7 separate regions of the Mus musculus genome follow, and regions 1, 2, 4, 5, 6 and 7 are each reported to be linked to region 3. Evidence: microRNA targets listed by miRTarBase, many of them from high-throughput screens and not tested one by one. Region 3 holds a microRNA gene; each other region holds the end of a gene's coding sequence. Distances are between the middles of the regions.
What was found. Region 3 holds the annotated microRNA mmu-miR-324-3p (CCACUGCCCCAGGUGCUGCU, at 2,060-2,079, shown strand). A microRNA usually pairs through its seed, bases 2 to 8, with sites in the 3' UTR of a target mRNA and lowers its output. Matches are read on the target gene's strand: a 7mer-m8 pairs with bases 2 to 8, a 7mer-A1 pairs with bases 2 to 7 and ends in A, and an 8mer does both.

Region 1 (3,080 bases), 50 Mb from region 3:
CACCCCCCCGCCCCCCGGAATATAACCACAGGTGGGAAGGGCCTCACAAAAAAAGACCCACGTCTCATGTTTTTCTTTGAAGGAAACCCCATCCCATTCTGTGTGTGAGGACTCCAGCCCGACAAATACCCCAAAGCCAATAGTCGGATAGGACGTGTTTATATTTACATTTCAAAGCAATGGCTACATTGGTCATACATATTAGAAACCATAAAAAAGTTAAGAACTAAAATGTACATCATACACTTGTATATATATATATTTTTACAGAGGTAAAAAGGCTTATTATAAAAAAAAATCAGTACAACAGGGGTTTTAGTATACAGGTAAATGAGTTATGCTTCAGGCACTTTGACTTGTTAATGTGAGCGAATAGCTTGGGACGAGAGCTAAGGAAACTTCTGAACGGGAAACCTTTTGGTTAGGTTCTGTTACCATGGATATAAAAATAAAATCTGAATAATTTCTCTCAAATGATTGACGTCAGTATGGCAAAGCTGACTGGGAAAATACTACACACCGTTCAGCTGCAGTGTGGCAATTAAACATATTTACATAAATGTCCCCATGGCTGTCTTTGTGCCCTTAACTGCTGCCTTCACAAACCAAAGATAGGTGATGCACAGAGGCGTGAGATCCACTGGCATAACCCTTAGGAGGGTGGGAACCGGCTGGGAGGAAGGACGCACAAACAGGGACAGAGGCAACCGGACACGCATTCTCACTGAAATAAATAGGGGCACTTGAACGGAGGTTTAAGGAAACAGGATTAGTGTTGTGCTTGGTAGAGAGGCGAGGGCCCGAGGAGAGTCCCTCAGGCTGGGGACAGTCTCTCCACAGCACTGGAGGGCGGCTGGAGGCAGTCTATAGAGTCTCCTAGCACAGAGACCCCCTCCATCCACAATGGTGGAGACGACGCTTGTTGACAACAGATAGCCCCAATCAGTCATCCCAACAAAGATGACACCTCCAACCTCCACGTAATGCACAAGCATGCTGATTATCTACACTGATGGTCCGTCTGTCCAAAGAGACACGACAGGCTGTCTGTCGGGCGAGCAGAAAGCACTGCCAGGAAGAGACAGTGCTAGGGATGCAAGGCTAGCTTCTCCCAGTATGACTGACTGACTGACTGACTGACTGATTGACTGGAAAAAAGGCCTTTTCCTTTAAAGACGGATGTCTGTGTGCAATGGGGGAGGGGGGAGGGGAAGAAGGACTAAAGGGGACTGAGCTTGGGGGGGGGGGGGGATAAAGGGGACTGAGCTTGATCTCTACCGTTAATCACTGTGGGAAGAACGGCCAGTAGTAACACCCTGCTCCCTACAGTCCCCACGGAGCTCTGATTGTACCATGCTAGGTATTGGTAAACCACTTCCACTTGTCTTTTTTCTGTAGAAGTTGGCTATTCTCATATATATATATGCATATGTGCTCCCCCCCCCAGCACATTAGGAGCCTCTTGCATGGCTCAGAGACAGGCATAATCAGTTGGTGACCTACCCTTATCTGTGCACCCCAAGTGGCAACTGTGGGTGTGGAGTGATAGAAGAAGACACTTAGGCATTGAAAGAGGGTTTTTTTTTTTCTTTACATATGGCCTTGTTTTTTTCAAGTATAAATGAAGAATTGAGCCTCAAATTAAAAAAACAAAACAACCCCCCCCAAAAAACTAACCAAAAATATATACCTAAAAAAACGCAAGCCACCACTGTTTGAATCAATAGTATTTAAAATGCACCCTGAAAAATATAGTGCAGGGCAGGGAATGGCTACAACTTCATTCACAACTTCTGTGTTTTTCATCTGGAACTTGTTCACAGAATACTGGCTTGTGTTTGAATAACTCAATTTGGTTTGTAAAATAATTGAGTAAAATTTATCTCACTGATGTGTTATTCTAAGTATTGCTAGGATTTTAGAAGTGGCAATGCAATTCTAAAAAGTCCTATTTTTCGGGTCAACTGGGCAAGCTCACAGAAACCCAAATCGCCTTGCAAGCCCTGGTCCAAGAGGATGCAAAGCAACTCGAGGAATTCTTTCCTGATTCTCACAAGTGAATATGGATTTAAGGCTCAAAAAGTCATTTAAAAAGTGATTGTTTTGCATTAGTGAATTAATTCATGGGGAGGGAGGGGCAGGAGAAGAGATGATAGCAGGTTAAAGACAAAACCGGCAGCTGATGGGGAGACGTGGCATTAGGGGTTAAAGTACTACTGTTTTGTGGTACATGCTTGCTATCCAGATTGCCTCCTCACATAACAACATGCTGTGGTGCCGGCTTCATCATTCTGTCACATCTCTGTGGGACCTATGCTAGTTAGCGACAGGCAAACCCAATGGGGAGAAGAAAAAAAAAAAAGTCACAGAGCGGGGGAGGGGGGGGGAGAGTCAATAAACCCCTCCAAGTCTGCAGAACCAGAAAGGTGGGAAGGAGGGGCAGGAAACCAACACTCAGCACGATTATAGGCTGGTAAAATACACGAGTCTATGCCGAAGGCTCCTTTCCTCAGAACACTGCGAGAGGGGGTATGTGGCTGACACAGGGGGCGGCAGCTACCCCAGGTTTGGAATGATGTCACCAAGGGACCACAGAGCCTGGCCTCCTCTTATTGGCCTAGCCTTTTGGAGTTGGAAGGGAACCAGGGAGAGGATGGGGGAGTGCGCAAGAGACAAGTTGCCCGTGGCCGTGGATGGAGAAGCAGAAAGTAGGGGAACCGAGTCACGCGGCGGCTTTGTGCTTCCCACCACAGCACCTGCACATCACTCCACAGCGGTGGCAGGCCCGGAGGGGCAGGTAACAGCACATACAAGGGGCCAGGAAAGACAAGGCAATTAGAGCCATCCACCGGAGGCAAAACTTCTCATCGCTTGTGTCACACGAACAAGGGTCAGTGTAGTCTCCCTCGGGGTCGGACATACAGTGGTACAGCATGCTGTCCGCGCACCACATACAGCTCACCCGGCGAATGCAAGTTCTCACGGCGTCGGGCGCGTCTTGGCAGTGGCCCCTTCGGTTCTCTTCGTGATTAAACATATCCCTGCAGTACACACACCGCGACCGTTCGCCGTTCTCCTTC
Region 2 (3,080 bases), not on the chromosome of region 3:
GCAGGGACCATCATCCCACATGAGACAGCTCACATTGCCTGTTAACTCCAGCTCTGGGGCACCCAAGACCCTCCTCTGATTTCTGTGGACACCCACACATGTGGCATAAACACACAGAGACATACACAAAAATAAAAGAAATTGAAAACAAACAAAAAAAATCTCAGAAGACAGAGAGGCTGGGAGATCTCTGAGTTTAAGGCCAGCCTGGTCTACATAGTAAGTTCTAGAACAACCAGGGGTACCAAGTCCCTGTATCAAAAACAAAACAAAAGAACACATACAAAACAAAACCAAAAAGGCCGGGCGATGGTGGCTCACGCCTTTGATCCCAGCACTTGGGAGGCAGAGGCGGGTGGATTTCTGAGTTCGAGGCCAGCCTGGTCTACAGAGTGAGTTCCAGGACAGCCAGGGCTACACAGAGAAACCCTGTCTCAAAACAAAACAAAACAAAACCAAAAAGAAAAGAGAAAAAACCTTATAGAGGACCCAGCAGTTCCCAACACCACATCTGATAACTCAAAACTACCAGTAACTCCAGTTCTAGTTTCTTGATCAGTATTTTTTCTGTCTCCTCCAGTTTCTGTATTGTTTCTTCAGGAATTAAACCCTCCTTTTCTTCAAGAGTCCAATGGAGCACACCCGTATTGTATGAAGGAAAAGTATTAGCTACCAGTTACTGAGTACACAGTGTATGCTAGGTGTACATTCTAAGTAATTATAATGAACGTGTTGGTGTCACTGGACAAATATGAAGACGAGCACAAAGACTGAAATGTTTTTGTCTGGAGTCATGTTCAGTAGATTAAGTCGTGATCAAAATGTTGTGCTGGGTATGGTGGCACATACCTAAAAATACCAACACTTGAAAGGCTGCTACAAGAGGATAGCTGTAAGTTTGAGGCCAGTCTGACCTTCACATGAGTCCAGGTCAGCCAGGACTATATATAGCAAAATCCTGACTCAAAAGAGGAAAATAAAAGAAGCAAGCAGACTCCAAAGCCCATGTTCTTTGGCACCTTCTTAGTTTCATTTTAAGTCACATTTGATGACCACTGTCCCACTTGCTGTCTGTCTTGATGTCAAAGATCCTGCTCTACATGATCAAACTAAAGGAAGTTCAAGGGACTGGGGTACAGGGAAGACAATGTACCAGTCTCTCCCCCCATTTCTATAGTGAATAACCTTTGCAAATAAAAGTCTGGTGCCTTCTGCCTGCTTTAAACCCTCCCATCCTCTCTGCATTGCTGACGGGATAATAACCCAAAAATGCTTCTGGAATATACAAGGTCTTTCATGACCTGCTCATCTCGCCATCTACGCTCCTACATCCTTTCCTTTTTACATCCCCCACATCCCCCAAACTCAGAACGGCCAGCTTTCCATAAACTACTGTAATTGGGTATATGTGTCGTGAAGGCTCCTCCCAGGGTTACCTCAGTGTCACACCGGGAAAACGGTAAGCCTTTTTGAACATGGTATCCAGAGCCTACATCTATGCTGCCTTGGTTTTTTGGGATCATCTGTATTGCTGAGTTGCACATTATACTGCCAATGAGTTTTTCTAGACACACCCATATCAGCAGATACAGCTTAAAGAAAATTGTCTTTCCTTTTCACTTTGGATCTCTTTTATTCAAATGAAGTAAGCAACAACATTTTAGAAACGACTGGATACAGCCACCTGGAAAGCAGTCCCCTCAAGCCCATGCATGCCACAGGAGTTAACAATTGTCTCACCACCATCCATTCACACCCCCTGACTCAGTCCAGCTCAAGGCTGACTGGGACAAGGCGGTTGGATAAGGTTGGCCTCTGGCAACAGGGTGCCAGGCTGGGTCAAGGTTTTCAGGCCAGCCTGTCTCCTGGGCCTCTTCTTGCCTGGCTCTTGTTGTTCCCATTCCCTTCTGGCCAGCACCTCCCAGGAGGCCCAATGTCTCCCAGGGTCACACCTCCTAAAGAGTCTGCCGAGTCCAGAGTCCATTCATTGCTCTCTCTCTCCCGCCTCTATCCCTCGGCTTGCCTGCCTTCCTCTAGACTATCACCATTCTGAGAAGGGCCTTGGCCAATCCCTCCAGGATATAGATAGCCATGACATCATCAATCAGGATATAGCGCAATTAAAACCTTGGAGGGACAAAGCCTCGTGCTATGGTTGGCTCATTCCTGAGCTACTCCCTACTACCAGAAAAGGCCGGCCGGCCCCAACCTTATTTCCAAACAGTATTAACTTTTAGTCCCTACAAAGAAATGCACAGCGTTATGGCACCCCACTATTTGAAACCGTTGGAGGAGGTCTCAGGGTGGGTTCCAACACAAGGAAACAACAACCTGGTGCACTCTAATCAGGACACAACTTCAGTTTACATGTTAGAAAAATGGAAACAGACTGGAGAGATGGCTCAGTGGTTAAGAGCACTGCCTGCTCTTCCAGAGGTCCTGAGGTCAATTCCCAGCAACCACATGGTAACTCACAGCCATCTGTAATGGGATCTGATACGATACCCTCTTCTGGTGTGTCTGAAGACAATGACAGTATCATATACATAAATAAATCTTTGTGAAAAAGAAAAGAAAAATGGAAACAACCCATACGGTGGCAGAACCCTGACTGTCACACGTGGACACTTTAATACAAGAGCCCCTGACAAGGCTTTCTTGATTTTAGTTTTACACTGCAGATGAGGCTTATCCACAGGATTGGACCTCAGAGTCCAGCTTGGGCCTTTGCAAATGTCTCTAATCCTTGAGTTAACGTTTGAAGACTCATCCCATCCCGGATGTGAATGCAGGTAACGCCTGGAACAAAGAGCAGTCACATTTTACCACACTTTCAAGGCTCTGCCGTATACTACCCACCCTACACTTACTTTATCTTCTTTTAAGAACTCCCCCCCCCTCACCCCCCAGCAGTGACTCAGTACCAAGTCTGCCAACGTCTATGATATTCCGATTCTCATCATCAAAGAAGACCATCTGAGAGAAAGGAACTCCGGTCTTGTGGTGCAACCTGTGAAGAACAAGGCAGGGGTAACCACTTGTCAAGCTGACTTCTTTTGTAGTCCACTTGCTCCCACACC
Region 3 (3,080 bases):
ACTGTGTAGCTGCCTTTGTTACTCTATTTATTTTAGTCACTTGTACAAAACACCAAATAAAGCAAATAGAGGCCAACTCCCCAAGCCTCTGGCTCCTTTCTTTGCGAGGCAGGCAGTGGAGAGGAGGGAGCAGTGACATTCACGGCAGACAGTGACTTGGTAGAAAATTTATTGTTAAGGCAATAAGTACTCCATCACCCCCATAAAGGGTTTTGGCATCAGAGAAGGCACATGACCTTGCCAGGGCCTGATTGGGAGTCTCAGATTCCCAGGGGGTTACCGGTGACCAGGCCACCATTCTCCACCATGGCCTTGGAGATGCTTCTGAAGTTCCGGAAGAGCTCCTGATGCTGAGGGCTGGACTGCAGACTGGCCATGTTTTCTCGGATCCGAGTTGCAGCCTGGGGAGAGGGAAGGGGAGGGACGGTCAGGCCGTCCTGTACTGGGGAGCTCCAAGGCCCACCTGTACTGGGGAGCTCCAAGGCTCACCTCAATGCACCAGCTATCACAGAGCATTTTCTCATGCTGTGCCGTCGGGTAGCCCTCACTCAGGGACCTTGAGGCTCTGTGAGGAAACAGAGGTTAAAATGATCCTGAGTGCTGGTGTTGGCCCAGCTCCTCTGTGGCTCTAGCCTGCCAAGCGTCCCTCGCTGCCGCCTTACCTGGACAGAACCACCACCATGGCATAGAGGTCAATGGCGCCGTCCGCCAGTCGCTGCAGCAGGAACTGCTCGTCTGTCAGGTAGATGAGGGTGGGGCTGTTAGTCGGAGGGAGGGAATCAGGGAGGGAAGGGGGTTGCAGAGCTCACTCACTGACAATCCCTTTCTTGTGTTTCACCAGCTTGGCCTCCACCACGGTGGCAAATTGATCCAGAGCCTGCACTGCCTGAAGAGACAAGAGTCACAGACAGAGCTCAGGAGAGGAAGGCAGCGCACAGCCACCGCAGGCTCTGCTTTAAGGCTCACTCACCAGTTCACCACTGCGACTTAACTCTGGGTGGACAATCCCTGACAGACTCAAACCACTGCCGATTCCTGTCCTCCTGAGAGGAGATGGAAGAGTGACTGGTCAGTTGCGGCCTCCCATCTTGTTTGACCCTGACTCTGACCCTGGCCCCGGCCCATGAGGTACCGTCTCAGCTGTTTGCCTGCTTCTCCCATCAGGAGGCCAACGTTTCCAAAAGGATTCTTCAGGGCATTGCCCAGCCCAGTGAGTTCCTTTCCTTTGTCCTGTGGAGAGAAGGGGGACGGCGACAGTGAGGACTCAGTGTCCTCCCCAGCTGCTCTCTCTCATCCTCCTTCCTCTTACCATACAGCCTTGCAGAGCCACAAACAGTCGAAGAATGTCATTTGCCCCTTCAAAGATCCGGAAGATTCGAATATCTCGGAGCACACGCTCCACCCCTGGTTCCTGGCACGCAGGAAGACACAGAAACCTCTGTTGAGATGTGCCTGTCCACTCTGAACAGATGCCCCCCCCTGCCGAGGAATACTCTGTACCTTCATGAAGCCCATGCCCCCCATTATTTGGATGCACTCATCTGCCACTTTCCAGGCCGCCTCCTGAGGACAGAGAACCAGATGAGTTGGATTTTTGAGCTGAGGTCCTAATCTGGACTCCGCCCTCCCATCACACCTGGGTCCTCACCGAGCAAAAGATTTTGCTGATGGCGGCTTCTATCTGGAAGTCTTTGAATCCCTGGTCCATGTTGGCACTCAGCATGTAAGCCATGGACTAAGGGAGCATGGTCGGGACATGGGGAAGACAACAGGGAAGGGCTGCATCAGACAGAATGGCTAATGCTCAGACCTTCAAGACCAGTGCTGATCTACTCCTCCAACCCTTGAATTCACTTTAGCCTCCTGGTCAGGTCAAATATGTCCAATATGTGACCCTCTGGTATATCAGGGGCTTCGAGGCTTCCGACTTTGTAAAGGGGTGGGTTAAAAGTCGTGTTTGGTGCATCTGGGCAGCATTTAGCAGAGCAGCACCACCCTCCAGAAGAGAACTGACTATGCCTCCTCGCATCCCCTAGGGCATTGGTGTAAAGCTGGAGACCCACTGCCCCAGGTGCTGCTGGGGGTTGTAGTCTGACCCAACTGTGAAGAAAGCCATAGGGCTCCAGGGAAGGGGCCCAGGAGGCCCTTACCTCAGTCACATACTGCAGAATAGCCATCCGAGCCAGCTTTTCCTGGATCACCCCAAAGTTGTGAATTTTGTCCCCAAACTGGGTACGATTAGTAGCATGATCAACCTGCAAGAGGGCGCATGTTACCCCACTGTGGTTCTTCAGTTTCCACCTGGACGGGCTGGAGGCCTAACTGTGCCGATGGTCGAGTGTGCATGTGTGTGTGTCGGCGCTCTGAGGCAGTCAGGGACATGTGCTAGCTAGGGACTGGGCTGGGACTCACCGCCTTGGCAATGAGGGATTTCATGGTGCCTGCGAGGGTTGCAGCCATCCCGAATCTTCCGTTGTTGAGGATGTTGACAGCAACCTTGAAGCCATCTCCCACCTCTCCTAGCACATTCTCTGATGGCACCTTCACTCCATCAAAGTACACCTCTGACGTGTTAGATGCTTTGATGCCCATCTTCTTTTCAGGGAGCCCACTGAAAAGGCAGGGCAGGAAAGTTGAGGTATGAACAGGTTGCTGTGGGGGAAAACGGCCTTTTCGGGTCTCATGATCAGGGGAGAACTCCCCAGACTATAAAAAGGATACAGGGCACTGCCTATGTGCCCCAGGGGCTACGGATATCTAGCTATGGCCTGTTAGCCTGTGTTCCCCCAGTGGAAACAAAACTGCTCACCTCCTGTGGGTGCCTCTTGTACAGAGATAGCCCCAGCGTGGCCTGTATTGACTATTTGCTCTTGAGAGCCCAGTGCTGTCCCCATCCTTGATTCTGTTTTGCCCCATACTCACTGGGTAACCCCTCCGAAGCTCCTTTCCACTACAAAAGCTGTGATCTTCTCTTTCACGGCCCCCGTGGCTGCATCTTTAATTGGCGTCTTGGCAAAGACAGTGAAAATGTCAGCCAGGCCCCCATTACTGTGGAAGAGTGAGGTGGTTAGTATAGGGTT
Region 4 (3,080 bases), not on the chromosome of region 3:
CTGGGGGAAACCGTGATGCTCACTGGGGATTAAGTGGTCCCTATAGTGCAGCAAAGAGGAAAAAACCGCACAGTTCTACTCCTTGTAACGACTACCTGAAAAACATAATGGAAGCAATTCTTAAAACATGTTTGTTTGTTTTTTAAATTAAATTTTTACTTTCAAATCAAACTTACTAGACATTTGTTTTTCCATGGAGATTTCATTTATTAAAATAAAAAAAAATTTAACAGGAATAATTGCAAAGCTTTCTATGACTCTTTTTTTTTTTTTTTCCTCTTGTAGAGTTTTCCTCCCTCGTACAACATAAAAAACATGCGTCTACCCACTGCTTTGTGGAGCGGGGGCCGGGACTGGCTGGCAGACATCAATGACATCACTATCTTACTGACTCAAATCCCCAAGTTGGTGTATCACAAGAACATTCCTGAGTGGGACCATCTGGATTTTATCTGGGGTTTGGATGCCCCCTGGAAACTGTATGATGAAATAATCAGTCTAATGAAGAAATACCAGTGAATGCTGGACTTGAATACTTCCCCTTCAATAGAGGGGGGAAAAAAAAAAACAGGTGTTTGCTTAATTTCTGTAAAATCCTTGTGTTTTCCTTGCCTAGGTCATTTGTATTTTTTATGTGCAAGAAAATGATGACGTCGAAGGTGTACATTGCTCTCTGGTTAATAAGAAGCACGCTAGCTGTCTTATGCTTCATTGTGACTGACTAGCAAGCGTCCACAACCAGTGATGCCTTTTAAGTGTCTCTGTGATCCTTTTGTTTACCTTTTACAGTTGTTTTCGGTGCATATGTGCTGTGCATATATGTGCCTAAGTGTGTGTGGGCTGTGTTCTGGCCCTTGTGTGGAGGTAATGGCTCACATCAAGGTGTCTTCCTCAGTTACTTCCCATCTTACTTTTTGAAACAGGGTCTCTTGCTGAACAGGGAGCCTGCTATTTCAGTTACACTGGTTGGCCCATGAGCCTCCAGGATCTGCCTGTCTCTACCTTCCCCCTCACCAATGCGGTGGAATGGGGTGTCTGTCCCAGCCGGCATTTTTACCCTGATTCTAGGGACAGGAACTCAGGTTCTCATGCTTGTGTAGCAAGCCCTTCACTCACCGAATCATTGCCTCAAACCTTCTGCAGTAGACCAAGCTACTCAGTTGCTTTTATATTCCTGCCCAACACAAGTGAGCACACACAGGACATTTCAAGCTGTTGTTTGCTAGCAAAAATAAGTCTGCCAGTGACCTGAACACACGATGAAAAGCTCCTTGCTCTGAGCTTCATGTGGCAGTGCAAACCTACAATCCTAGTTCTCCAGAGGTTGAGACAGGAAGGCTGCTGTAGGACTTAGGGTTCATCTAGAAAGCGAGACTTTGTCTCTAGAAAACCAAAGACAAAGGAGGAAAAAAAAAACCCAAAGTACTCAGTTCTCATCCCTTTGCCTTAGAGGACTGTCTAGCCCAGAGTTCCTGTGTTTACCTATCCAAACAACATTTTCATGTTTTAATGCATTAGCTTCCTAGTGAAATCCAGTGTAATCCCAGCTTCTCCAGGAATAAATATCCTCTCTTCAGTTTCATCAGACCTCAATAACAAAATTTTTCAGGCCAAGCCCCCCCCCCCCCCCCAAATAAGCGTAGACTCTTGAAAAGCAGTTTGCACTGATTAAAAAAATTAAAAAAAAAAAACTTGAAGATTAATACAATGAGCTCTGTTGGTTCCGAATGTGTAGTCTGGTCACTTTTCTGTGGAGAAACATTCTGTGGAGGGACAAACCACTGATTTGCCAGAAGCGAATATGGCTGCCGTGACGGTGCCTGCATGAAGCTAAAGCTGGTTGTGGTGGCAAGTGGTCCGATTCCCTTTCACACAAATGATGTTTTCAGACAGAGCTCGGCTCAGGAATTTCGCTTTGAGAATCAGTGTTGTATGCACAATGTTTTACTGAGCCTGCTTTGCTCCTGCGTACAGGAAGCCCACATCTGTTCACTTGGCTTGCTGGCGATGGCTGTCACCACTAGACAGTTGATAAGTTTTCTGATATTCTGATATTAGGTACCACGGATGCAGGAATATTACTTGATATTGGCTCATACAGACAGGCAGAATGATACAACTTTGTAACAATTTAAAGGTTTGTATTTAAACTTTTCAATAAATCTCAGCCTCATAGGCCTGAACATCGGTGTGGTGTTTGCTTTACAGTGGCTAATCTATACATTTTCTTTTAGCAGGATAAAAGATTTTCTTTCTCTACTCTCCCCAAGTCCCAAAACTTCGATCACACAGTCCATGAACAATTGGAGAGAAAGGAAGGGGAGGCTGGGCTGTCTTAGTCAGGGTTTCTATTCCTGCACAAACATCATGACCAAGAAGCAAGTTGGGGTGAAAAGGGTTTATTCGACTTACACTTCCATACTGCTCTTCATCACCAAGGAAGTCAGGACTGGAACTCAAGCAGGTCAAGAAGCAGGAGCTGATGCAGAGGCTATAGAGGGATGTTGTTTACTGGCTTGCTTCCCCTGGCTTGCTCAGCCTGCTCTCTTATAGAAGACAAGACTGTCAGCCCAGAGATGGTCCCACCCACAAGGGGCCTTTCCCCCTTGATCACTAATTGAGGAAATGCCTTACATTTGGATCTCATGGAGGCATTTCCTCAATTGAAGCTCCTTTCTCTGTGATAACTCCAGCTTTGTCAAGTTTCCACAAAACTAGCCAGTACAATTGACCCCTTGTCAACTTGACACACAAACACATCACTAGTAAGCCTCAACCCTTACATTCTTATTCATCTCCAAGATCTATATAACTTTAAATGTCCCACAGTCTTTACATATTCTTAAAATTTCAATCTCTTTAAAATATCCATTTCTTTTAAAATCCAAAATCTTTTACAATTAAAAGTCTCTTAACTGTGGGCTCCACTAAATAGTTTCTTCCTTTAAGAGGGAAAAATATCAGGGCACAGTCACAATCAAAAGCAAAAATCAATCTCCAACCGTCCAATGTCTGGGATCCAACTCACGATATTCTGGGCTCCCCCAAGGGCTTGGGTCACTTCTCCAGCCATGCCCTTT
Region 5 (3,071 bases), not on the chromosome of region 3:
GTGCAAACTTTTGCAACACTTGGCCTTTTAAAAACACCATCAGAAAGTACGGTGAAATCTAAGTATTGGGGGACACATGGTCTTCAGCTGACACCAGATACTTCTGGGGAGGACCAGGAGAAGTCGCAGGAAGTTCCCACTGCCTTGATGTGGTATTTCATCCTCTGTGACTGCCCCTGGGAACCAGCAATGACTCTTCTTTCTTGCTGAGGGGCTTTCCTGACACTGGCTCTGTTCCACCTCAGACTCCGGTGTCACAAGATCGGCGGTTCTCTGTCACTGCTCTCCCCTTTATCCTCTCTGGCCAAGTTTCTAAGAACTCTCACTCACAGGTAATATACACGCATGTCAATACGTTTTTGGGATGACAGGCAAAAATAATTATCAGAAAAACCAAGCCTTGAAAGCATCACGGGTCAGGAATGACCTCACTCCCACAGACTTCTGGCTGCTGTCGGGGACAGCCTTTCCTTCTCTACCCCAGCAATCCAGTCATCTCCTGTCAGGTTGGATCCAGGAGAAGTGAGGTCAAAACTGAAGAGTCAAAATCCCAAATTGTGTGTTTTGTTTACTTCTATGTAGGTGAGAAGATGCTTTTAAATAACATTTGTGCTCCACCATAGCAGATGTTGAAAGTCTAAAAGACAGAATGGTATCCCCCTACATTCAACCCTTAAAACCGGGTTTGTTCTTGTCATGTGAACTTGGTTTTTCAATCTTCCAGAACTGTGAGGATTATTCTGAAGACAGTCATCTAGTTAAAATCAAACAAACAAATAACCAAACAAAAAACTTCTGTACCACAAAAAAAAAAAAAAAGAGAAAAAGAAAAAAATTTTTTTTTCTTCTTACATTTTTAGTTGGGAGAAGAAATGTTGACCGTTAGGGAACCAGTATTGGAAAATAGAAACATCATACTGAAAAATCTGAAGGTAGGTGCTATAAATACCAACAGTGAAAAGAACTGGGTTCCTCCTGTCAAAACATGCCTCACTCAGCTGCTTCTCAAAGAACACCCGGGTCGGGTGTCCTCCCACGAGTACTGAGTTAGTACTGAGTAAGTACTGAGTACTGAGGTAAGTGCACAGGGCTAGACCTGAAATCAAAAAGTCAGAGCACAGAGACAGAAACCAGAAAGTTCAAGGCCTGGGTCCAGTAGAATTAAGAGAGTCCATTTGTTAAATAGGTCAGTTTCTCTCTATATCAAATTAGAATAATTGCAAATTTAAATACGATTTTCCAAGAACACTTTAAAATAAAGGCCTTGGCAAATCTATACCATCTGTTCCCAATACGGAAAACAGTGAGATACACGCACTACCCCTCCCTGCAGACTGATTTCTGCTAGTAAAGAAACAACCTTTTACAGAGAAGCAGCAGGGTTGGGATGACAGGCAAGAGGGCTGGCCAAGTCTGAGAGTAGGCAGAGATCGGAAGGTTGGGATCTTAGCGTTGAAATAAACTTTAAACTTTAGCAAGCTCCTCTCCTTGTCAGGTGGCAGAAATGCTAGAGCAAATCATAGGCACGGGAAGTGGGCGGCAGGGCAAAGACAGAGACATTCCAAGAGCAGGTACAGAGGTCTCAGAGGTGGTTCTGCAATCAACCAGCAGGAAGGCGAACAGCGGCACTGGGACCAAAGATTGGGAGGAGCGTAGACTTCAGCTTCTGCGCAGAAGAGCCCCAGGGTGGGGGATTGAAACCCCTCCAGCGGTGGGGGCTGGGGTAAGAGCGAAGTCTCACGTGTGAAGGTGAGTCCTCAGACTGCCTGTGACAGGACGGGGGTAGGAAGCATTGCATTTGTCTCCAGAGAAGCAATGAGCCGAGTAAAACACAGAAGGAAGATGGCACGACAGCCATTGCAGGGTGGAAGCTTGATTAGAAGAAACCTGTGGGTGTCTGACTTCCTTCTACAGTTAATTTAAAATCTAGACTTCTGCAGAAAGCTAAAGTGACTGCAGAAGAGTGAACCCTACAGAATCCTTCTTCACTGAAACCGTGGTTTTCAAGGTCTACACAATAAAACACAGTGTTTGAAAACGAAGTTTGGCGGCCAAGGTATCTGGAAAATATCTGGAAGAAATGCCTTCCACTGTGGGGTATCAGTAAACCTCACCCGCACTTATACTTTGGGGAGCCACTTCTTGGACAGCGACCCCCCAAAGTGTCCTCAGACAACCACAATCCCACTGTGAGACTCCACAGAATCTAATTAAACCATCCACACATGTGGCCATTTCCTGACGCTTTCTACACCCAGTTCACTGCCTCGACTGTTAGTCAAGCATCCCGGAGCAGCATCCCTGAGCAACCATGGCTCTCTGAGCGGTCCTGGCCACCAAGTCCTGTTCTCTTCCCAATCCAGTTCCAGGTGATCTGGAACAAGGGACTGCACAGGTTTGGTTCGTGACTGTTTTACTGGGAGGCACAGCCCAGCTGCAGCCTCTTATGATGGGAGATATTCCGAAGTTCTTGGCCTGCCCACTTTTGCCATGCTAGCCGAGTGGTAAGTGTGTTGCTGCCGGCAGTTTCTCCTTAGTGTCCCGCACAGGATCCAGGGTTAGTAAGCGGTGTTTAGACAATGGTGATCTCCGTTGGGCTGGCATCTGGTATCTTAAGTTTTTCCAGAACCTGGTCTTTGCAGACTGTGGTCTTTCTTGAAAGTCTCCTGACCAGCAAATGACTCCGTGTTTCTGCTTAATGAACTGAATAGAATCTGGCATTTTCTCATAGTCTTGGATTTTCTCCAACTCAAGCAGGACGATTTTAATTCCTTCCTGGATGAGAGCATTGTATATGGCTATTTGCTCTTCAGATGACTGGCCCAGCCAGCTGAAGCCTCCCATATCTCTCACTAGAATGATAATCAGCCTCCTGCTTTTCTTTACATTTTCATTAGTAACCTCGATGGTATCTGTAAGACACAGAGTGCAGTGCAGTCAGGCAAGAGGCCATCAATACATTCTTTCCTGAATTCAACACTCAAAGATGCTCTTCCCAGACTCCTTTTTATGTCCCCTGTTGCTTCTTCCTTGCCTTACTTGAGATTCAAAGACAATTAAAATTTACAGAC
Region 6 (3,080 bases), 31 Mb from region 3:
CAGCTGCTGCAGGCCAACCGAGCTGTGTGTGGCTTCCACCTGGGCTACCTGGATGGAGAGGTGGAACTCGTCAATAGCGTGGTCACCCGCCTCGTGGCTCTGTACAATCAGGGCCACATCAAACCTCGAATTGACTCAGTCTGGCCCTTCGAGAAGGTGAGCTTGAGGACCCAGGGGCAGATGGTTCCTGTCGTCTTTAGCCGGGCTCTGTAAGTGGGGCGGACAGCATCAGGGACGGTCTTCTCTTTCTCTCCAGGTGGCAGATGCAATGAAACAGATGCAGGAGAAGAAGAACATAGGCAAAGTCCTCCTGGTTCCTGGGCCTGAGAAGGAGACCTAGGGCCAGAGGGCTGAGGGCCCTGGAGAGCCGGGGAGGGAGAAGATGGGAAGTCCTGTCGTGTTGCCCACCAGCCTCTCACATTTCATCCTGTCACGATGCTCTACCCTCCCTCCCTCCCCCAGAGAAGGTCTCTGCTGATGACTGCTTCCCTGCTCTGAGCTCGCTCTTGCCCTTCGCTCAGGGCTCTCCCTCCCCCCCACCCCTTCCTGCCCTCAGGAGAGGTTGGGAAGTGACCACTTGGATGTCTGGGCCCTGCCAAGGGGACAGGGGGGGTCAGCAGGAGGCTGGCTGCTTCCTGCCCTCCCCCCTCTCCCTGGGCCTACCATGCTGCTTTTGTGCCAAGGTTAGCCAATCCCTCCCTGCCCTATCCTGTGTGCTTCCACCTCAGCCTCATCCTCCCTCCTGCCCCACCCCCACCCAAAGAATCTATGCGTCAGCTCAGGACGTGGGGCCGATCTGTGTGAGTCCAGCATGTACCTGTGTCCCCCGTAGTATCCCCGCAGCCCAGGCCGACGAGGCCCACCCCTGGACTTGATCAGTATTCAACCTTGTCTCCTGTCCCCAATGTCGTAAGCACAATTAGACTTCTTCCGGCTTGAGTTTGCTGCCTCCTACAGCAAGGACAGGAATCAGACCGACTCCCTAGCTTACGCTCTGGGAGGGGTACTGGGTACCCCACCCTTCACTGAGGCCTTTGGATTTGTCTCAGTGCCTTAGCATCTGAAAACCTGTGCTTGTATATGTGTGTGTATGTGTAGGGGCAGCCCCTATCTCTGGCTCCTTTTCCACCCTTCTCCCCAGTGCCTTCCTCGTCCTGGTGGAGCTGAGGCCTACTCCTCCCCAGTCCAACACTGCCAAAAATCTGTGTATGTGCCAGGGGTCGGGGGTCTGGGGGTAGGGGACAGCTCCAGCCTCTGGGGACCAATTGCTTTTACTGTGGTCTGTGGCCTGTCCTGTCTCTGTCAGTGGAGAAGAAAGGCAGTGAGCTGGATCAGCCAGAGTTCTGGGAGACAACGCTGGGTCTTATTCTGGGACCAAAGTGAGAATTCAAGCACATTTCTTTCCTTTGCTATGTAGGGAGGCTGCTGCCTTCCCAGAGCCTGGAGGCAGCTCTGCTGTTCAGCCCCAAACTTTGTTTACACTGCTAGGGAAGGAGGAGCTCCGGCAAGGGAATAACTAGGCTGGTTAAAAGAGTCAGGGCTACTGGAGCCAAGGTGGGGACCTTTGAGGCTAGGTGGGGGTCACCTGCTGCTTCTGAGCTTGGATTAGAGAAAGCTCTTAACTCCAGCCACTGTCAGAGGGAGTGTGGAGGGAGGGACCCGGCCTCTCTGTTGTCAAATTGAGGCCTCCATGTGGGAAGTGTGATTTCTGCTTTTGTGTCCCATCCCCACCCCACCCCATTACCACAGCTGCCTTTGTGTCTGTGTCAATAAAAAGCCAAACCCTGAGTCCTGACCAGATGTTGTATCTGAGAGTTGCTGGAGAATGGGTGGTAGTGATGCGCACCTTTAATCTCAGCAGTTGGAGGCAGAGACAGGCAGCTTGGAGTTACAGGCCAGCCTGGTCTACAGAGGGAACGTCTGGAATATACAGAGAAATCTAGTCTCAAATGAAAGAGAGAGAGAGAGCGCGCGCGTGCACGAGCGAGCCATGGGAAAGCCAGTGTCAAGGTCTGCGTTCTGCCCTCTCTCTCAGCTATCTTGAAGTAAAGAAGACCATCACACCAGGTTGGCACTTTGACCGTTCTTGGTAGCATTAGGCAGTAAGTGATCCTAGTCCCCAGCAGGTGGACATGCAGGCCTAGCTTGACTCGGAAGTGAAGATAGCCAGGCCCTGCTGCCCTGAAGGCACAACTGTCAGGGCCTCCACCTCCCCGCCCCCACGAGTGGGCTTCTGGAAGTGGATCTCAAGGATGTCATGCAGTTCCTGGGCATCCATGACATCAGGAATATTTGTCACCAGCACTGAATGAGGGGCTTGCTGGAATTTGATCTAGAAAAAGAGACAGGAAATGAATGAATTGCAAGGGTTCATGGGAATGCAGGGCAGTGGCGAGCAGAGGCTGGAACAAGGACCATCCCACAAAAAACATGGGATGGGTCTGGAAGCTCAGGCTCCTGTGTAGGCTGGAGAGGCTGGGGGGCCCTGAGCTCTCCCCGACAAGGAGACGCTTCCCCAGCCCCACCTTCACGTACCTCGGCTTTCTGGATCTCACCACTCACATAGGGAGAGACCCTCAGGAGGACCTGCTGCCGGTCCAGTGGGACTCTGAACTGGCCAATCTGGCATAAGTGCTGGGCCACTGTGAGAGACAGGGAAGGGTGGCCTTGAAGGCTTCTCGAGTCTCGTGCACCCTGGCCCCCTACCTCTTCTGTAGGACCCTTACCTTCTTCATCAGCAAACCCTAGCATGACGGTCCCTTGCAGCATCTCCCGGGTCTCTACATCCCCACCTCCATTCTTGGCCTTGCCAAAGAAGATCTCCAGCTTGTCCAACAGTTCCTCTTCACTCAGCCTAAGTCCAGCAGGAAAACCACTAACGAGCACCCTGTGGTTATCTGGCTGGCTGGACACCTAGCAGGAGACAGGGCAGGCTCAGCTGACCCACTCATCCATAGGACCCAAATGCTGAATCCCACCTGTTGCATGGAGGACCCTGCCACTCTGTCACCTGAATGTTGGTCACCACAGGCAGCTCCAAGGGCTGGACCTGCACCCGCAGCCGGCAGTCCTCTAAGTTA
Region 7 (3,065 bases), not on the chromosome of region 3:
GATGAGATGAAGTGTGAGCAGGGGTGTGGAGAGCTGCATGGATGGTGGGCATGGAAATTTAAATAGAGTTACAATTGTAGCCAGCATGCCCACTCCTGAGTGGCTACCCTAGAAAAATGAAAGCTTATGTTTGAACAAAAATTTCCAAGCAAATGTTAATAATAATGTTATTATTCATGCTTTATTTTTCTACCAACCCAAACTTTGAATTCACAGTCATGAGTGACATGAGGGGGAAAATGATAAATGATAATATTTATAAAGGATAGCCAGAAATACAGGTCAAAAAGGAAAAGTTATTTGTGTCTGTCTTTTCATATTCATTCAATACTTTTTTCCAGTGATGAGCTATATCTAGGCCATGAAGCTTCATCCGCCTTTAGGAGTTATACAGCTGTAGCTCGAGGCAACAGAGACTACAACATTCGTGCACAAGAGCCAGAGAGTGGGCTTTCAGAAGAGACTCAAGTGAAGTGCTTGGTGGACCAGGCCACAGACCCCAATATCCTTGGCAGGACTTGGGAAGGATGGGAGCCCTGGATGTAAAGTCTGTGGTGTCACCAATCATAAAGCATTCTGTCTCCGAGAGGACCTCCTAGACCTTCGCTGACAGCAGTATATTTCTGACAGACAGAGGAAATCTACTTTATGGTGCTGGCGAGATGGTCAGATAAAGGCATTTGTTACCAATGCTAATGGCCTAACTAACTTCAATCCCAGAAACCCATATTGGAGGCAGTGAACCAACTCCAGGAAGTTGTCCTTTGACCTCCACACATGTAAAAAATAAAGAATATGACAAATATTTCTTCCTTGTTTCAAAGAATCAGCTCTTAATTTCACTGATTTCTTTGCATTTCTTTCAATTTTATTTCTTTAATTTCTGCTCTGCTCTTGATCATTTCTCCCTGTGTTCTGTTGTTGGGTGAGGTGGGTGTTTGTGCATCATGGTACATGTGTGGAAGTATGTACATCCCATGATGATTTGATCCCATGATCAAATTCAGATCATCAGGCAGAAGCATTCTACCCTGTTTGCATCTCAGATTTGTGTGTGCATGTGTGTGTCTATCTATGTCTGTGGGACCTTGAAAGGCAGCCTGTTTTCTGGTCGAGCTAGGTTTAAACCCCAGAGACCCAGCAGATTAGTCTTCAAGGGACGGAAGGAAGTTTGCCACATGCTCCCAGACACTAGGCTCCTGACAGGAGGCCCCAGCTCCATAATTCTGTGGCCATCAGTCACACAGGCTGTCTGCATTCCACCCCCACAGTTACCTGGCAATAGCCAGGTATGTTCCTCCCTACAGTTACCTGGCAACATCCAGGTAGGCCAGCCCACTATAAAAGGGGCTGTGCAAAAAAAAAAAAAAAAAAAAAAAGCTGGGCGTGGTGGCATATACCTTTAATCCCAGCACTGGAGGCAGAGGCAGGCGGATTTCTGAGTTCAAGGCCAGCCTTGTCTACAGAGTGAGTTCCAGGACAGCCAGGGCTACACAGAGAAACCATGTCTCGAAAAACCAAAAAAAAAGGGGGGGGCGGGGGGGCTGTGTGCCCCCTCCTCCCTCTCTTACTCTCTTGCTCTTACTCTAGCCCCTTGCTCCCTTGTTCCCCCTCTCTGTCCACATTCCCTTCTCCCTCTCTCCACGTGGCCATAGCCGGCCTCTACTTCTCTACTCTCTCCCTCTCTCTGCCTTTCTACAATAAATGCCTGAAAACCATGGACTGTCTCTTCTCATCAAGATTCACCATGCTGCAATGGAGCAGGTCTTCCACTAAGGAGCGGAGCCTAACCTCCCAAAGGAGGCCTCCCTGTGTACCCAGCTACTTCCACCACCACCAAGCCACCCACTGAGCAAGCCACTTGAACAAGCTAAGGACTCTCCTCATCACCAGCCAGAGTTCTCACCTCCTGCCCTTTAACCTTTGGCCCCAGGCCAGAGCCTGCCCAAGGACCCCCACTCTGTTCTCAGCTCTTCTGTGATGGCATCAGCGGTGTCCAAGAGCTAGAACCTGCCATCCTCAGCCTCCATGCAGGCCCAGGGACCCCGAGCCAATTCTGGCAGTTCTTCGGGGACCCCAGACTTAGCTTCCAGGTCTCAGGAGCGGGGTCCTGCGGCTTCTCACAGCCCGACACCCAGCCCAGCGGCGGCTGTGTGGGGTCCAAGCAGTCAGACTTCCCGTGTCCTGCTTCATGCAGTGGCCCGAGCCCTGGGCTCCACACGGCTCGACACGGGACCCCATTTTTAACCCACATTGGAAGTATGTCAATCCCACGGATCAAACTCAGATCATCAGGTCTGGCAGAAGCATCCTACTCTGTTGGCATTTCAAATTTATGTGTGTGTCTGTGTGCTCTGCTAAGTTTCCAGAGCTGCATATTTTGTTGTTTTTATTGCTGTTAGAACAACCTGTTCCTTAGTGTAAGTGTGGTATTTGAGTCACCTATTTCTGTGTTAGGGTTAATCTTTATGTCTAAAATAGCATTTGTTTTACGAAATTGAGTACACTAAGTTTTGTGCATATATGTTCTTGATTCAGTCTTAAACGCGTTCTCACGACCGGCCAGGAAGAACACAACAAACCAGAATCTTCTGCGGCAAAACTTTATTGCTTACATCTTTAGGAGCCAGGAGCGCAAGCCCCAAGCCCCAAAAACGAAAGGCCCCCCGCTTACATCTTTAGGAGCCAGAGCGCCAGCGCGCCAGAGCGCCAGAGCGCAGAGCGCAAAAGCGCAAGCAAGAGAGAGAATGGCGGAAACCCCGTCCCCTTTTAAGGAGAATTATCCTTCGCCTAGGACGCATCACTCCCTGATTGGCTGCAGCCCATGGCCGAGTAAAGGCAGAGTACATGTAGTGGAAAATTACTCTTGGCACATGCGCAGATTATTTGTTTACCACTTAGAACACAGGATGTCAGCGCCATCTTGTGACGGCGAATGTGGGGGCGGCTCCCAACAATTCAGTATGAAAAGACCTTTATCTCTGATAAGTTATGCTTTAAGTCTATTTGGCTTCAAATCCTGGTTTCCTTAGCATGGAATACCTTTGCTCATCCTTTCACTTTAA

Region 1: miRTarBase lists Spred2 as a target of mmu-miR-324-3p. The part of its 3' UTR that is shown has no 7-base or 8-base seed match.
Region 2: the mRNA of Mdp1 is a reported target of mmu-miR-324-3p. Seed matches in the 3' UTR shown: 7mer-m8 at 2,417-2,423.
Region 4: the mRNA of Lipa is a reported target of mmu-miR-324-3p. Seed matches in the 3' UTR shown: 7mer-m8 at 1,290-1,296.
Region 5: the mRNA of Il1r1 is a reported target of mmu-miR-324-3p. Seed matches in the 3' UTR shown: 8mer at 2,260-2,267, 7mer-A1 at 277-283 and 7mer-m8 at 138-144.
Region 6: miRTarBase lists Vat1 as a target of mmu-miR-324-3p. Seed matches in the 3' UTR shown: 8mer at 1,318-1,325.
Region 7: the mRNA of Prkdc is a reported target of mmu-miR-324-3p. Seed matches in the 3' UTR shown: 8mer at 735-742.

What each region holds. Positions count from the first base shown.
Region 1 is chr11:20,021,090-20,024,169 of GRCm38, reverse strand. It overlaps Spred2 (sprouty-related EVH1 domain containing 2), which reads right to left. Exons shown (of 6, transcript NM_033523.4): 6 at 1,573-3,080. The coding sequence ends at 2,723. Among named protein-coding and RNA genes, the nearest start is that of Gm39603, 14 kb to the left of the region's middle.
Region 2 is chr14:55,656,276-55,659,355 of GRCm38, forward strand. It overlaps Mdp1 (magnesium-dependent phosphatase 1), which reads right to left. Exons shown (of 6, transcript NM_023397.5): 5 at 2,925-3,010; 6 at 1,614-2,799. The coding sequence ends at 2,708. Among named protein-coding and RNA genes, the nearest start is that of Mdp1, 2.6 kb to the right of the region's middle.
Region 3 is chr11:70,010,036-70,013,115 of GRCm38, forward strand. Mir324 (microRNA 324) reads left to right here and starts at 2,008; the gene lies at 2,008-2,096. Dvl2 (dishevelled segment polarity protein 2) reads left to right here. Exons shown (of 15, transcript NM_007888.4): 15 at 1-74. It overlaps Acadvl (acyl-Coenzyme A dehydrogenase, very long chain), which reads right to left. Exons shown (of 20, transcript NM_017366.3): 9 at 2,923-3,048; 10 at 2,413-2,611; 11 at 2,151-2,255; 12 at 1,649-1,735; 13 at 1,501-1,563; 14 at 1,310-1,411; 15 at 1,133-1,230; 16 at 971-1,043; 17 at 814-886; 18 at 663-735; 19 at 490-565; 20 at 148-401. The coding sequence ends at 261.
Region 4 is chr19:34,491,419-34,494,498 of GRCm38, reverse strand. Lipa (lysosomal acid lipase A) reads left to right here. Exons shown (of 10, transcript NM_021460.3): 10 at 286-2,183. The coding sequence ends at 519. Among named protein-coding and RNA genes, the nearest start is that of Ch25h, 18 kb to the right of the region's middle.
Region 5 is chr1:40,312,816-40,315,886 of GRCm38, reverse strand. Il1r1 (interleukin 1 receptor, type I) reads right to left here. Exons shown (of 11, transcript NM_001123382.1): 11 at 1-2,912. The coding sequence ends at 2,494. Among named protein-coding and RNA genes, the nearest start is that of Il1rl2, 10 kb to the left of the region's middle.
Region 6 is chr11:101,457,453-101,460,532 of GRCm38, reverse strand. It overlaps Vat1 (vesicle amine transport 1), which reads left to right. Exons shown (of 6, transcript NM_012037.2): 5 at 1-156; 6 at 257-1,785. The coding sequence ends at 340. Ifi35 (interferon-induced protein 35) reads right to left here. Exons shown (of 7, transcript NM_027320.4): 4 at 3,011-3,080; 5 at 2,727-2,913; 6 at 2,536-2,642; 7 at 1,832-2,332. The coding sequence ends at 2,141. Among named protein-coding and RNA genes, the nearest start is that of Vat1, 7.2 kb to the left of the region's middle.
Region 7 is chr16:15,841,430-15,844,494 of GRCm38, forward strand. Prkdc (protein kinase, DNA activated, catalytic polypeptide) reads left to right here. Exons shown (of 86, transcript NM_011159.2): 86 at 342-810. The coding sequence ends at 546. Among named protein-coding and RNA genes, the nearest start is that of Mzt2, 20 kb to the right of the region's middle.